Xenopus tropicalis: one gene and its partners. Each later gene encodes a partner of the first gene's protein in a complex. Links are inferred from orthologs where the notes say so. Each region holds a gene or a part of one and is shown in the gene's direction. Other genes may lie near its edges.

What was found.
Region 2: smarcc2 (region 1) and smarcd1 share a complex: the UniProt entries of both Homo sapiens proteins name them as parts of the BAF complex. The link is inferred for Xenopus tropicalis from reciprocal best matches to the Homo sapiens genes SMARCC2 and SMARCD1.
Region 3: smarcc2 (region 1) and dpf1 share a complex: the UniProt entries of both Homo sapiens proteins name them as parts of the neuron-specific chromatin remodeling complex. The link is inferred for Xenopus tropicalis from reciprocal best matches to the Homo sapiens genes SMARCC2 and DPF1.

What each region holds. Positions count from the first base shown.
Region 1 is NC_030678.2:137,466,527-137,472,166, forward strand, and holds the start of smarcc2 (SWI/SNF complex subunit SMARCC2), read left to right. Parts: upstream 1-1,635; 5' UTR 1,636-2,231; coding exon 2,232-2,342; intron 2,343-5,640. UniProt on the Homo sapiens protein: Involved in transcriptional activation and repression of select genes by chromatin remodeling (alteration of DNA-nucleosome topology).
Region 2 is NC_030678.2:148,804,028-148,809,567, forward strand, and holds part of smarcd1 (SWI/SNF-related matrix-associated actin-dependent regulator of chromatin subfamily D member 1), read left to right. Parts: intron 1-1,404; coding exon 1,405-1,592; intron 1,593-2,599; coding exon 2,600-2,642; intron 2,643-2,735; coding exon 2,736-2,858; intron 2,859-2,956; coding exon 2,957-3,079; intron 3,080-5,540. UniProt on the Homo sapiens protein: Involved in transcriptional activation and repression of select genes by chromatin remodeling (alteration of DNA-nucleosome topology).
Region 3 is NC_030684.2:77,397,462-77,403,101, forward strand, and holds the start of dpf1 (zinc finger protein neuro-d4), read left to right. Parts: upstream 1-2,796; coding exon 2,797-2,828; intron 2,829-5,640. UniProt on the Homo sapiens protein: May have an important role in developing neurons by participating in regulation of cell survival, possibly as a neurospecific transcription factor. Belongs to the neuron-specific chromatin remodeling complex (nBAF complex).

The sequences.
Region 1 (5,640 bases):
TAACTATCACACTATCTGTACTACTGTAACTATCACACTATCTGTACTACTGTAACTATCACACTATCTGTACTACTGTAACTACACACTATCTGTACTACTGTAACTATACTACTGTACTACACTACTATCTGTACTACTGTAACTATCACACTACTCTACTACTAACTATCACACTACACTACTGTAACTATCACACTATCTGTACTACTGTAACTATCACACTATCTGTACTACTGTAACTATCACACTATCTGTACTACTGTACTGTACTACTGTAACTATCACACTATCTGTACTACTGTAACTATCACACTATCTGTACTACTGTAACTATCACACTATACTACTGTACTACTGTAACACACTATCTGTACTACTGTAACTATCACACTATCTGTACTACTGTACTATATCTGTACTACTGTACTGTACTACTGTAACTATCACACTATCTGTACTACTGTAACTATCACACTATCTGTACTACTGTAACTATCACACTATCTGTACTACTGTAACTATCACACTACTACTGTACTACTGTACTACTGTAACTATCACACTATCTGTACTACTGTAACTATCACACTATCTGTACTACTGTACTACTGTAACTATCACACTATACTGTACTACTGTAACTATACTACTACTGTACTACTGTAACTATCACACTATCTGTACTACTGTACTACTGTACTACTGTAACTATCACACTATCTGTACTACTGTAACTATCACACTATCTGTACTACTGTACTACTAACTACTGTACTGTACTACTGTAACTATCACACTATCTGTACTACTGTACTACTGTAACTATCACACTATCTGTACTACTGTACTGTACTACTGTAACTATCACACTATCTGTACTACTGTACTGTACTACTGTAACTATCACACTATCTGTACTACTGTAACTATCACACTATCTGTACTACTGTAACTATCACACTATCTGTACTACTGTAACTATCACACTATCTGTACTACTGTAACTATCACACTATCTGTACTACTGTAACTATCACAGCCCCCTTCCTGCCCAGTACCCAACACAGGTGCAACCTGGCCAATAAAATTTATACTTGATGCCAATTATTAATAGGGCAGAAAAATACAAATATAAAAAGGCCAATTGCACCCAGCCCTAGTGTAACCTTAGCAGAACCCATACAATTTTTTTTTCAATAAATGAAAATGTTTTACAATAAATGAATGAGTTCAGGTCTGCAGCACCCATGGATCTTTGGTGGTGTGTGCCTTGCCCAAGTTTTGTCCAGTATCCCTCTGCCGATCCGCCATTGTTTTTAATGGGCAACTTGTTAGTCTCCCCATTCTGTCACACTTTGGAGGGACGCTGAGAATTGTCAAGTCGCCCAAACACAGTACGTACTAAAGTACCTCTGTAGCATTTACAGTAAGAAAGTGTACACCAGGAGGAGAGCTACAGTAAAGTCAGTAAGCCTGGGGAATATTCTGTTTGTGAGGAAAAAAAATAGAATTTACAAGCTAAACGAATCCGTCACGGACAGGATTCGAACCTGTGCGGGGAAACCCCATTGGATTTCGAGTCCAACGCCTTAACCACTCGGCCACCGTGACTGTCGGCCAACCAACTCGCTCAGCCTACTGACACAGAGCGTGAGCCGGCGTGCGTTTTTCCCCAACATGGCGGCCGTACGCTCCCTGGCAAAGCTATGCTTGGAGGGGCTGCAATGCACGGAGGGGCTGGGAAAGGACACCGAATGGAAGGGGGCAATTTGAGTTGTGGAAGACTGGGCGCTGCTGTGTGGGCGCTGCTGTGTGGGCGCTGCTGCAGCGAGTGTTTCCCAGCGGCACTAGGGCAGGAACATTCAGCCTGTGAGTCCGGCCGTAGAAAGAACTTACTGACTCTTATATTCGAGTCACAGTGTTCGCACCTGCTGGAAGTGCCCGGCGCTGGCACCGCGGTATAAGTCTTATGCGTACCGCCGTGATCGCCACTTCTTCTTTCCAATCAATAATATCACGTCAGGCTTTTTGGCGCTATATTGCCCATTTTAGCGGCACAGTGGCTTTTAGCCGCAGTATCCTGCCCAAGGCCGCCGTGGTATGCTGGGACATGTAGTTCGCTAACAACTGGAGGGCCACTGGTTGCCGATGTCCCGCTGCACTTATCGTTCCGGCCGCTAGGTGCCGCTCAGCTCTCGGGTTGGAGGTGCCGGGCAAGCTGGCAGAAGATGGCGGTGCGGAAGAAGGACGGCGGCCCGAATGTGAAATTTTACGAGGCATCCGACACTGTCGCACAGTTCGACAACGTGCGGCTATGGCTGGGCAAGAATTATAAGAAGGTACTGCAATGAGGGACTTCGAGTCCTACGGCAAACGAAGTCCCCTAGTGTGTTTCCCTGAGCTGCACACCTAGAACAAAGAGACAGGCCCGAGTACGGGGGTGTTAGGGCTGGTGGGCACTTAGCAGCAGGAGGCCCCGCAATGGCCCCTACTCTGCCTGTCACCTAGGTTACTGACAATGATGCTTCCTCTAGAGAAGGGAGCCTGTTATATTAAATGGTTATATGGGGCCTTCACCCGCCCAGTAAGCTGAATAATAGAACAAAATGAGCCCTGAATGTGTCCCTGTGCGCTACAGAATCCGGACATGTCATGCCGTGCCATCTTTTATTTCTATAGCAACAGATGGAAGATGTACAGTAATGCCCTATTGTAGGAAGAATAAATAACTCTGCATCCCACCAATTGTCAGCTCAGTGGGCAAGGCATAGTACTAGCCTTTCATGTCAGTACCTTGCTCCTCAGTGGCAACTCCCGGCCCCACCATTATCCTCTCCTGTCATGTCAGATCTTGTTACCCTTGCCATTCACAGTCATTGTGCCAAACAGTAAAGGGGTGAACATTTCCCCAGTATTATCCCTTTAGTAAAGCCCTGGGTTGGGTTCTGTTATATTCTTTTGCTTTTGGTCCATGGGGAAGCACAGGGCTACATCCCTGCATTGCTGGTTCCTAACTGCCAGCATCTGTTTCACATACACGGATCCTCTGCACATGCTCAGTGGCACAACTCTTCACCCTTTTGGGAGGTTCTAAGTTAGGGACACCCCACACACGCAGGGTTTTGGGCTAGAACATATGTATGGTGCTACAGGTCGGTGGAGAGAGTGGTTCAATCATTCATGTTACCTGACTAATACCAAATGCTCTATTTGTGTTTCCTACTCATCTAGGGAAAAATAAATATTATATTGATACTTTTTAGCTGATTGCATTGTTTGCTTTCATTTAATGTGTTGACAACACATAAATAGAAGCAAATAGCACAACAAGCGTAATAACTTAAAGAACTGACATAACTGTGCCTGATACTTTAGCAGCTGGAGTGTTGTTGCAGAAAGTGCCCCTTCCATAGACAGCACGGAATGAGAGGAATGCATATATACACATATATATATATAGAACTGTTTACAAGCTGCATGTCCTGTAGCGTGAGCATGTTAGTAGCACGTGCTAGTGTGGTTATCCTCAGACTTACCTTTGCCCTAGTGCTGATGTGTGAGTCACCTGAGTGCATTCCCTTTCATATACTTCTTAATACCTGCTCTACAGTTGTACTGCTATTTTGTTTAGAATAACTCTGTAGCCAAATCTGCGCCAGTAGCTAACATGGCAGGGTAATTTGTTTTGTTAATTGTTGGATGAAGAACAAAATATAGACCTGTCTAAAAATATACATATCTATGTAAAAGAAGAGGTTACATGGAATATCCCTTTGTTTATAAGGGTCTTTAACGTCCCATAACACTAGAAAATGTATGTATGTATATCTTTATTTATAAAACGCTACTTATATATGCAGCGCTGTACAGTAGAATACATTAATATAAACAGGGGGTATTAAAATAGATAAATACAAAGTATTACAATAAGCACAATTAAATAAAAGATACAATTGTAATAAGATAAGAGTCAAAGACACAAGAGGATGGAGGATATCTGTGGATACTAGCAAATGCCGGAGGGGCTGCTGTAAGATGCCATAGGGAGTTGCTATCTATTGGGCTGGCAGGGAGGCTGTTTGGGCCTCTGTGTACTTGAAATACCAGGGCCTATTTTGAATTCTAGGTCAGGCCTGTAGCCATGCACCTGTTTCTGGCATTTTAGGCTAATGCCAGACGAGGCGTAGAGAGGATATTTTCAGCAAACGGAAAATCGCTTGCCGAAAATATCGCCCTACGCTTCCTACATGTGCCTGCACCCGAATGAATGGAATACGCTTGGGTGCAGGCACATGTAGCCGAAATACGCATAAAAACGGGAGACTTTCAAACTCTCGCGTTTTTATGTGTATTTTTGCTACATGTGCCTGCACCCAAGCGTATTCCATTCATTCGTGTGCAGGCACAAGTAGGAGGCGTAGGGCGGAATTTTCGGCAAGCGTTTTTCCGCTTGCCGAAAATATCCGCCCTACACCTCGTCTGACATCAGCCTTAAGGTGACAATACATTGGGAGATGTAAGGTGCCGATTTATCTTCTTCAGGCTGAGTCTGCAGCTTATCTATCCATGTATTGGGCCCTCCAACGGGCCTGCCTTACTGAGATCTATCCAAAAAAAGTCCAGTCTGGGCATGGATGATGCAGTCCTCGCCCCAAAATCCTGCTTTTACTGTAATTGTGATCCAATAGTTTTGCCCTTGGGCCAAAGATCAGGTCAGCTCGGTATTGCCTACCTCAGGGTGGGCATATCAGGAAAAGTTTGTGGAACTTTATTCCAAGAAGATTAATATGAATCTGGTTCTTTTTTTTGCTTTAAATCAGCCTGTACTTATTTGGAAAGGCTTTCCTCTACACATTGGAATATTATGATAGGATTTACAGTTTGCAAATGATACATTAGTTGGTCTTATACAAGGCAAAGATGCAAAATCCTATCGTCAATTTGTGACATATTAGGTATCAAAGAGACCATAATCTAGTCATAAACAGAGTCAACAGTAAAAATTAACCATGGACATCAAATGGAACCCTAACAAGCAGTACAACCTACAAAACAGAGGTACTGAGATGAAGCAGCTTGGCATCAGATTCCAAACTAACTGAACAGTTATGTCCCATGTGGCCCCCCCTCAAGTCACTGATTGGCTACTGAATGCTAACAGCTTAGAGAGCTGTAAAGCAGGAAGTAGAGTTCTGGCCATTATGTTAGACATCTGCTCACTCCAGCCTTTATAGATTTCATTTTTGCTTAAGTAACATATTACAAATATTTTTATTTTGCGCAGTCGATTTATTTTACCCAGTTTCATTTTTACACTGAACTGTTTCTTTAACATCACCAAAGACCTTAAAGGAGACATATCCTATAAAAATTAAGAATGTACCAGTGAATTATACTCTTCTAGATATAGAAGGATTGTGCTTAAAAAAGTTGTATGTCAGACCCGCCCATCTGTTCTACTTCCTTCTGGCTGAATTCTCTGGATGCGCAGGGGAGGCGGCGGCTCTCAGTACACTGCACTGTAGGATAGGAACCAATCAGCAGCTAGGCTGACCTGATAGGGAACTGAAGCCTGGCTTTGCTTGTGTGAGTGCAGGGCTGTGATTGGCTCTCCCCCTCCGACTGTGTTTCTGGCAG
Region 2 (5,540 bases), about 11 Mb from region 1:
TACTTGTACTACGTTTACATGCTGTTTGTATTATATTTAGCTATGTTCTCTTACTGACATTTGGGGTCAAGTGCTGTCTGTCGCTCTATGAATATATAACATTTGGGATTGCTGTTCTGATCACTCACGTTATATGGAGGTTGTAAATTGTTGATTTTTTGTTCTGTTAAAACTGTGTACTGTAATGTTTGTCCGTGTAACTTTTAACACATTACAGTATGGTGTATTTATTGTAGCAAATACACCATACTCAAAGCCTGGTGCTGCCTTATTGCTTGTTAAAAAAACCCAGAGTTATGGTGACCATGCACGGGCAGATTTAAGCCGCTGGGTCCTTCAGACCGGATTTGGCAGTTTATCTGCCATGTATGTTGACCCCCGGCCATGTATGTTGACCAGTATGTCAATACATAATAGCTAGAAGTTAACTTCTTCCTTTTCAGCTGTCCACCCTGTTAAAAGCCAGTGACTTGAGGGCAAACATAGTATGGGACATAACTGTTTTCTTTTGAACCTCACCTGCGTGCTAAGGATAAAAAGCAGACTAAGTGAACATTGGCCTTTCCACCAGCAACTCCTATTGTTGTCGGTGGAAAGACATTTCAGAGTGGTTAGACACCTGCAATAACAGAGATCTATTGCGGGAGACTGAACCACTCCATGGGACATCAGTCAAGAGATTAGAGAGCTGAAAGGGGGAAGTCGTGTTCTGTCTATTATGTTAGACATCCACTTACTCCACTCCATTCTTGGCTCTCGAGCAGATTTCATGGCACACTCTGCTTAGCAGCATAATGCAATACTATTAATATTTGTATGTGCTTAAGAGTTACAATATTTAAATAAACAGCTACTATAAACTATAATCTATGAAAAAGGGAGAGTCTCCTTAATTCAGTGATCCCCAACCAGTGGCTTGGGAGCAACATGTTACTCACTAACCCCTTGGATGTTGCTCACAGTCCCCCCAAAGCACATACTTGTTTTTGAATTTCTGTTTTGGAGGCCTTTTGTACTGCCAAACAGAGTCACCTGTAGGCTGCTAGTACAAATTGGGCTACCAAATAACCAAGCACAGCCCTTATTTGACAGTTACTAGAAATTTATTTCATGCATGTGTTGCTCCCCAACTGTTTTTTTTTTTTTTTTTTTTTTTTTATATTTAAATGTGGTTCACTGCTAAAAAAAAAAAAGGTTACCCCTGCCTTCATGAATATGCAGAACATGGTAGATGAGGGAGAAAAATAGTGTTGGGTGGAACAAGCAAGAAGACCGATGTAGATTTTAATATACAGTTGTATAAAATGAACAGTATAATGCACGGTGTGTGTCTCTCAAATAATGTATATCAAACAGTGTCAGTTCTTGTGTAATGAAACCTTATTCTATATTTATTCTGTGCAGAGACCTGGAATGCTTCCAGGTAGCCGAATGACTCCTCAGGGACCAGCAATGGGCCCCCCTGGTTATGGTGGAAGTCCAGCTGCTCGGCCAGGCATGGCCCAATCAGGCATGGACCAGTCTCGGAAACGTCCTGCACCCCAGCAAATACAGCAGGTGCAACAACAGGCTGCTCAGAATAGGAACCATAGGTAATGTTTTGATTTGAATTAGCAGTTCCTGCTTTAGAAGGACCTATATATCTCCAAAACTGCTTAAGTTGGTTTCTCAAAATACATGGCTCACTAGCATAGCTGCAGCTTAAAGTTAAATGGCTTATTTGAAGTATTCTGTACTGTAGTTTTTAAATGCCACATGGACATATGTGCCCAACCCCCTCATGTATGGCCACTTTTAGGGTAAGAACCAACGGAGCAGTTCGGTTGCCCGCAATAGAACGCTATCACGGGCGACTACCACTCCGAAATGGCTTTCCACTGGCAACAATAGGAGTATTCCAAAGTCGTGCAAAGTTTCTTCCTGCAGGCAAGATCAATTGTGGATTACTAAACCACTACGTGAGTTCTTACCCTCAGTGTACAGTGCAGATTGGGGCACATTAATGATTCCAGTGGAATTTAGTTCTCCGCACTGTTGCTTCAGACCGACTTAGCAGCCATCCCGGCAGCCAGCCTGCCTGATAATCAGCTGGTTATCTATCAGGCAGAAAAATCCTATCAGATGTGGTTCTCTCCCTGCAGATTTCCATAGGCCTTAAGGTGGCCACACATGTGGCGATCTGCCACTAACCTTCAGGGCTGAAAGAGGCAGATAAGGAGGTAGAAACAATAGGATTTCTACCTCCTTCTGCCGATTCAGCGCTGAAGGCAGATTTTGGTCAGGCGCCTTCTATGGCGCCCAACCAAAATCTTTTAACTGGCCCGATCGGTGAGTCGACCGATATCAGCAGCTTCGACTCGCCAACTTGCCATACACGCACCGAATATCATGTGAATCGGTGCGTGTATGGCCAGCTTTAAATGTTCTTACTGTCGGCCATTTGCAGAGCAAATGGATAGCCAAAAAGCATATCTTCCCATGTGTGCCAATGTAGTTGAACAAATGGTTGTATGTAATAGGCTTAGCTAATATATCCTCTTTTAGAGGCTTAAAGTGGATCCATAAATGAGTAAAAGTTATTGTTCTTTTCTTCATACAGTGCTAAAAAGAAGAAAATGGCTGATAAGATACTACCTCAGAGGGTAAGTACTCGAGAAGATGGCACCATAGTTATTTAACTTTTTTCTATTTTTTTAATCGACAATATATATATATATTATTTTCTATTCCTACAGATAAGGGAACTGGTACCCGAATCTCAGGCTTACATGGATCTGTTAGCGTTCGAGAGAAAGCTGGATCAAACAATCATGAGGAAACGGCTTGATATTCAGGAGGCTTTGAAGAGACCAATAAAGGTATTCTGGACAGAAATTCTTTAAGTTCAAAGTGGAATTTTTAATTATATTTTCTTCTTTGACATTATCTGTTCTTATACAAATTTCTTAATTTTTAGCAAAAGAGAAAACTTCGGATCTTCATTTCAAATACTTTCAACCCTGCAAAATCAGATGCTGAAGATGGAGAGGGAACTGTTGCCTCATGGGAGCTGCGGGTGGAGGGCCGTCTCCTTGAGGATGTGAGTACTGAGCAACAAAAATGTTTCCATTGATTACTTAATGACAACCCCCCCCGTCCTTTTATATAACAGTCACAGGTTGGATTCTGTAGAGTAGGTCTGTCCAACCGGAGGCCTGTGGGCAGGATGTGACCTTCCAAAGGATTTCTATGTCCCTTTGTCTCTAAATATGACATTTTTATTTAATCTGACCCTGGTATTTTTGGGCCAATCTTAGCTTCTCCTCAGCTACGTGTAGCTTCATGCATGCTGAAGCTGTGATGTACCAATGACCAATGTAGCTACTAGGGATTATTATTATTATTATTATTATTATTAACATTTATTTATAAAGCACCAACATATTCCGCAGCGCTGTACAATAAGTGGGTTTCATACATTGGACATACAGAGTAACATATAAAGCAATCAATAACCGATACAAGAGGTGAAGAGCTTCCAAAAGAGCTTACAATCTACAAGGGATGCACCAAACCCTGTTTTTTGGGTTCAGCTGAACCCTGAATCCATGGTGAGGGATTCGGCTGAATTTCGGTTCATTCATATGCCTGCTGTAGGGCCCTCTATCACAACTGCACAATTCCCGCCTGCACCCCCTTACAGGTGATCGTGTCCCCCCCCCCCCCCCGAGCTGTTTGTAACTTCTGACAGCAGCCGCTGTGCGGCTTATAAAGAACGTTTGGCTCTGTGCTCATTGTGGCTAGAGAACAACAGAGCCGAACATTCCTTGTAAGCAGCATAACGGCTGCTGTCAAGTTACGAACAGCTCTCAGGGGGAAGCAGGACAGAACGGCTCTTGCAGGGGAAGCAGGGTACGGCACATCGGTGGGCAGGCAAGGTGGGGGAAGCAGGACACAACAGCTCTTGCAGGGCATTAGCATATGCTAATTGGGATTCGGTTCAGCCAGGACCGTTGATTCGGCCGAATTCGAATCCATCCGAAAAAGGCCTAATCCTGGCCGAATACCGAACCGAATCCTGGATTTGGTGCATCCCTAGTAGTTACAGGGCAATGTGTATTAGAGCGGTCCCCTTCTCTCCCTGTCTGACTGACCAGGGCCTTAGCTGTTAGGGCTAAGAGACATGGAGCTACTTAGTAGCAGCTACTTGTCAACGGCCTAAAAATGCCAGAAAATACCCTGCCACGGACAATACTCAGAGCAAAGCTGACCCGGGGACTGGTCTGATTGTCATATTGGAATAAAGAAGGATTTTTCCCCTCTGGTTTCACCTGTAGAAAAATGTGTGTGTTTGGTGTTTTGTTTTTGTTTTTTACCTCATCTGCTATGTTATTACGTTAATACTTTAGACCAGTCAACAGGCTACAGCATATAGTCATATTGGTGCTCCACAGGCGTTAGGAGACTCTTTACTGACTGCTTTATGAATCCCTCAAAACTGGTTAATAAGACCCATACTTATTATTCTTTTCAAAGTAATTATTTCCTTTTAAAGTAATTAATCTGAAAGATAAAAGTTTTATTGACAAGACCTCTAGAAAAAAAAAATGGTATGCTTATTGGATATTTCATCCTGGGGTTTAAGGGGAACTGCCGTTAAAATGAATGATAATGACATCCCTGACATTTTCCATTTTAGCGCTGAATTTTATCAGCAAGATGTGGGCTCAGCTTAATATAAGCTGACGGGAGGGAGAAGAGCCGAAGCTAATTTAATGAAATTCTGTATTGAGATGAAATATTTCCAATAGAAGCTGTCAGATCCTTTCTGTGCCATTTAATGAAGTTCAGGAAGAAGGGCCTATCTGTTTCTGTTATAATAAGATGCAGAAAGGCCATTTAAAGCAGTTGGAGACAGGGAACTGTTAAACTACAGCGGCTGTTTTCTGACCATATTGGTGCTTCTAACAAAACCTGTTCTCTGTTGGGGAACTTGGTTTGAGTGGACAAGCATAAGAAATACAATATTTGCAGTGCTCTTAGTTAATTATATATATTAAATTATAAGTGACTATTTATTTGGTAGATCTGGATGAGGCGCTTGTTTAAATACCAGAAAGATTTACTAGTGGGGAAGTGTCATTGTTAATTGAGCTTAACTTTTTAAGGCGGTATAAAAGGGATAGTGAAACATTGCAGTTTTAACAGCAGCATGGGAATAAGCCTATATCAACCTTATCACCCTGTTTAAAGTGGAACATCTTTCTGTCCCTTTAAATTCATGGGGATGCAGAATAACAAGCTACCTGAGCCAGACCGCAGCTGTGAAGGATCAGAGGGTAAATATGGAGGCAATACATTGCACACAATGATCCACTATTGCTTTAAAATAGACAAAAATAATTGTGCGTTTTTTTTTCTTTTTAAATTGATAGAATGACCCACTGGTATGTTAAAAAGGTATTAAGGTCATTAACACTAGAAAGGCCCTAAAAGCATTTATATACAGTATTCACTTAGTTTGTGCTCAGTAATTGTGTCTCCATTTCTAGAAACCATGA
Region 3 (5,640 bases), on another chromosome or scaffold:
AAGACCGTTGTACTGGGCATATCCTCTGGCATCCATGGGTGTATTGTGTGCCGTTGAGACCTTCTGTGATGCTGGCCTCTGCTGTTCAAAAAATGTCATCTGTGTTCTGCAGTGTACATCTTGCTTGTCATTAACCTGTTCAGATATACTGTTTTGCTGTATATTTGGTTTGTGCAATCTGTATGAAATGTTGACAGTACGAAGGAAAAATTACCAGGTGATAATAAGGGCCCAATCCTCACAGAATTAGCTGTGTAAAGGGATTCTTATAAATACTTTTCCAAGGTAACATGGATAGCCAAGGTAAAGACTGAGTTTATTACCAGATTGGGGTACATTACCTTTCCCACAGGAATGGTCACGTGGCTACTTGAGCCGCTTGCTGCTACTACTGGACTGTTCTAGATTTTGTTGTTGCTGTTTTGAAGCTTTGCCTGTTTATTAATTGGTATTTATTTATTATTAATTAGTATTTAGCACTTGAATTTGCAATGCATATATTTTTTGCTGCTGTTAACCTTGTCTTTTCTTTGCTCACTGCTCTGATTTGACTACTAAAAGCTAGGCTTAAAATCCATATTTCAAATCAGGTGTAGAAACATCACCGGCATGCACTCAATGGACTCCAGAACAGCAGTTGTAAAACTTCAAAAAGGCTTTATTCAAGGATCCGGATCCTTGAATAAAGCCTTTTTGAAGTTTTACAACCGCTGTCCTGGAGTCAGTTGAGTGCATGCCGGTGATGTTTCTACACCTGATTTGAGGTTGTGTTTTCCCTTGCTGCGGGTCTGGGGCATTGCACCCGGGCCACTGAGAGGAAGCAGTGAGTGTATATTTAACCGTTCACAACTGTACGTAGAATATTAATTGCACTAATATGAAGACTGAATACCTACAGAGCGAGAGGTTCGGGGCATAAGCACCTGGACCTGTAGTCTAATTTGGTGAGCGTTTGACTTGTTATAAGAAACCATTAAATGTAAGCTTAAGTTTATAGTTCACCACTACATAAGTATATAAGTGAATAGGAACGACTGGGAGCCTCCAGACAAACAGAGTGAATGGTATTAAAATCCATATTGTCCACTGTGGTGGACCCCCAGTCTTAAGGTGGCCATTCACTGTAAGATCAACTCATTTGGCGAGGTCGCCAAGTGAGCAGATCTTCTCCCGATATGCCCATCTACGGGTGGGCGATATAGGGTTAATTCAATCAAATCAGAACGGCTGGCATAGGCGCCATCGGATGGGGGACCGCATCATCGAGCCTATACGGTCCCCCATTTGACGGAAAAATCAAACCTGCCCAATCGAGATCTGCCCAATTCCAGTTTTCTGTTGGGGAGGCCTGTCGGTGGTGCCCATAGACGGGCAGATAAGCTGCCTAATCGGTCACCTTTACATAGAGCGATTTGCATAAACTGAAAGTGACCATGTACTATGGCCAAGGCCCTGTTCTTTTCTGGCTCTCTAATCTCTTTGGCAAAGGAAAAAAAACATCTGGGTCATAACGCAACATTCCTCACCAGCTCTGACATAAATTGCCTGTACAGGAAATATAAAAGGATCGACTGCACACTAAAGATCACTGAAAATTTTAAGGGCAGCAAAGTGGCGCAATGGTTAGCTCTTTTGACTTTGGGGTCCTAGATTCAGTACCTAGAACTCAAATTGACCACAGAGGGCATAATTGTTATAGGTACTTAGAGCTTTATGCTACACTTGGGAAGGGACTGGTGTGAATGATATATAATCTTTGCCAGGCGCATAAGAATGTGTTAGCACTATACAAAGAATAACAATAATTATAATGTGGCAGTGTGAAGGGGGGCTTATTATATGAGGAATATAAAAGAAGCAGCTGAATACAGGTGCTTGACATAGTACTAAAGTACTCACTTTATGTGGAGTTTACAAGAAAGTGGAGCGCACACCATATCTGTTTGGCAAGGCCACGGAAATGGGGACCTGCTGCATGATCTGTGCCAGCAATGGGGACTATGGGAGCCCTGCTGATGAAGGACACACTTTTCCCTTACCCTTCCATGGTGACTGGTTCTCCTTTCTTTCCTGCAGGTCCCTGAATTGCAGTGGGCACACTATCTTCCTCAAGGCTCCAATCTTCCCTGCAGCGTACTTGTATCTTATTACTGGACCTGCAATCAAACAAATTTAGGATATAACTGATATTAACAACTTCAGTGTTTTCCTTTATCAGTTTTAAGTCCATTCATCCCCTCCCAATTCTCTCTCCACCGCCTGATCTCTATTATTCTGCTCTCCCCTCACCTTCTCCCCCCCTTCCCCCCAACCCACTTGCTGCATTTTTTTCTGCTGGCTTGTTAACAAAAGGCCCTTATGGGGCCTCACCAGCAATGACTAGGCTCGTCCTATTTTTATCTCAGTTTTCCTCACAACCTGACTGCCTCTCCCACCTAACTCATAAACTTGCCTGTCTCTCCCTTTTTGACAATCCCTTCCCGCGCCCCCCATCCAACACACAAAGTCTCCCCTTCCCATTGCCCCCAGCTCCCCCTCCTCCCTTTACAGTACCTTAACCTTCTCCACCAATCATTTTCTTCTTCAGCCTCCCAGACTTGTCCCTCGCAATGAACTCTGGGCAACGTAGTGCCATTTTCAATTCATATTCATACTGGCGCGGCTCTCAAAACTACAACTCCCAGTCTTACCCTCAACACGGCCTTTGATTGGCCATTGCGTGCAGAATGAATGAAATTGTACAGTATTGTGATATTAGAGGGGCTGCAGTGTTCCTGCCTAATACCCAGCTGCACCATGAACACAGCCCTCCACAACCCCTTAAAATCGTGAGTATACTGGACTTAAAGATAGTTACAGCTGTGTATACTGCATTTACACTGTCTGAGACTGTATATCTTTCAGATGTATACATGTGTGTTTAGCATTATTACAACATGGACATATCTACATGAATACTATGCATGAAAGAGTGTGTCTGCCTGCCAATTTGTGTATTATAGTGTGTGTGTGTATGTAATACATTTATTTGAGATTATATATATATCTATATATATATAGATATATGTGTGTGTGTGTGTTTGTTCTGTACATTTGCATGTAGATTGTTATATATATTAACTCTTGTGGGTGCTATATATATATTAAATGTCAAAAAGTGGAATCAACCATCTATTCTGCACGTATACTATGCATTATAGAATTTCACAGTGAGGTCACATCCAGCTGCTTTTAGAGGAGGGTCTTACATCTGGATTAGACTGTATCCTTAGGGTATGTCTGAGGTCTAGACTGCGACTGCGATCGTTTGCCTATTATCTATCCATGTATTTAGCTACCTATTCATCCATCTGTCTTTGCCTATCGTTCCTTTGGGAAAGGGAATTTATTTGTGATTACCCATAGTTCACTTTTCTACAGCATTTTCATATAAAATGTACAGCAGTGTTTTGCTGATTTTAATAGTATTTGGTTGCACCTGAGTAATATGAATTTTGAAAGCTAAATTTAGGGTATTGTCTTAAAAATAAAATCCCTGTAACTTATGTTAACACTATTAATGCATTTTATGCATAATATTTATTCAAAAATATGTAATATGCTTAAATATGTGTTTTAAGCCATACATAGCACCATGCAAGCAGAGCAAGTGAGCTGAGTGCCTGGGAACCTTCTGTCCTTAATTCCTAGTGCACATCTGGGCAGACTGTATGCACGTGATAAAGTAGCCATTAACCCAGTCAGTGCCTGAAGTAATCAGACTGTAATAATAAGCAAATAATGGATACTGCATCACTCTGCATACTGTTTGACACTAAATAATTATTTGTAGTTTTGCAGCCATGAGCATATTTAAAGCTGCAGAAGATTATAGAAGAACTGCATTTTGTCAGATATGAGTAAAATATGGGTTACTGCTGTCACCTAAAATCCTATATTTCTCCCAGTGGTTAAGCTGGGGACATTTCACTTTAACTCATTCAGCTCTGACTGAATACAACTGTGAGAGGCAGTTCTCGTTCTTTCTGGTACTGTGTGCAGTTATCAGTTTAACCTAATTTGATTTGACACATGCACTGCAAAATATAGTATGACTGCTCTCTGTAAAATGCATTATATGCATGCTTTTTATCAAAAATATTTGCAGATTGTGACTGTAGCTTTGTAAGCAAATTGGCAAGGCTTCTCTCTCAAGCAATGCACTGGACATGAAGACTTGATAAGGAGAAAGCCTTTATTGAGTGAAAATCTAATGTTACAGATTATCTTATTGGTAAATTAAATTTTTGGTAAATTAAAATACAGTTACTGTTACTAATCTTGCTTTCACAAGGACTTACATATATGGCGCTGTTGTATTAGGCTGTATGCCACACTCACATATATTATAAGATCCGTGTATACCTGCTTTAATTTGACAATTCTAATTTCTTTAGTATATTTGTATATTAAGGAGACATTGTTTTAATCATTTTTTAAAGAATAATAAGTTTTATCACTTATATTAGTAAGTAAAACAAAGGAAATTTAATTTATTAGAGGCACTGTGTCCAAAAGTTACTGCTTGGTAAATTTAAGCTAGAGTTTAAATCATTTTTAGGATAATTTGGCCACCAGAGGACATGGTTTCAGTGGACTCTGTGGTTCATATGTAACTGGTTGCATTGGTGAGAAACATTAAGGCAGCTTTTACTGCCTTATACAAATAAACATAATGATGCGCAGATAAATAAGGCCATGGTAAATACCTTATATGAATTTATAGAAATATAAATTGAATATAGGCCCTTTTACACTACACTAGAACTTAGTAAAGCACAAATTATGCAGTGTAAGTCCCTGTGTGTATATATATATATATATATATATATATATATATATATATATATATATATATACAGAGATCTGCATGTGCACCCAAGCAACCCTGATATGTTTTTTCTTTATGTGTCCTAACATCATTTCTGTCATATTGTTGATATTTAGGTACTATATATACTTTAATATATATTTAATATGTACTATATATATACTTTAATAATGAATGCTCCTTATATATATTTGTTGTGTGCTCAGCCTGGTGTAGTAAAGGGGCAGTATTATGGCAGAAAATAATTGAACGTGCATTATATTTTGACTGTTATATTGGTACACACTTGCCTATCCACTCAAGCTATCATTCCTGATCTTATAAAGTTGCCATTGAAACCAGCATTGCCAGTTTCCAAGCTGTCTGGGTCCTGTCTGTGTCTCAGCTCCAATTATATGTGTGCAGACATCTCATGACAGTTCTGCCTGACTGGGTGAACCCAGCCTGTTACATATTCATATCTGTGGGGAATTCATATATATTGTATCTGTGTGCATAATAAGCATATATGCTCCCATGTATCCATAAATGTACATTTTCTGTATACATGCACATGTATTGCTAAGAAAATACCTCTTCATAATAGATTGTTATACAGTACTATAAAATAATTATGTCATGCTTTGTGAATATTAATGATGACCACTGCAGAACTGAAGACTTACCTACTGTAAGATATAACTAGAAAAATATCCTATCTGAACAAGGCAATGATACATTTTGGAAAAAAATTAGAAGTATATTTAGAAGTGACATTTGCATGCAACAAG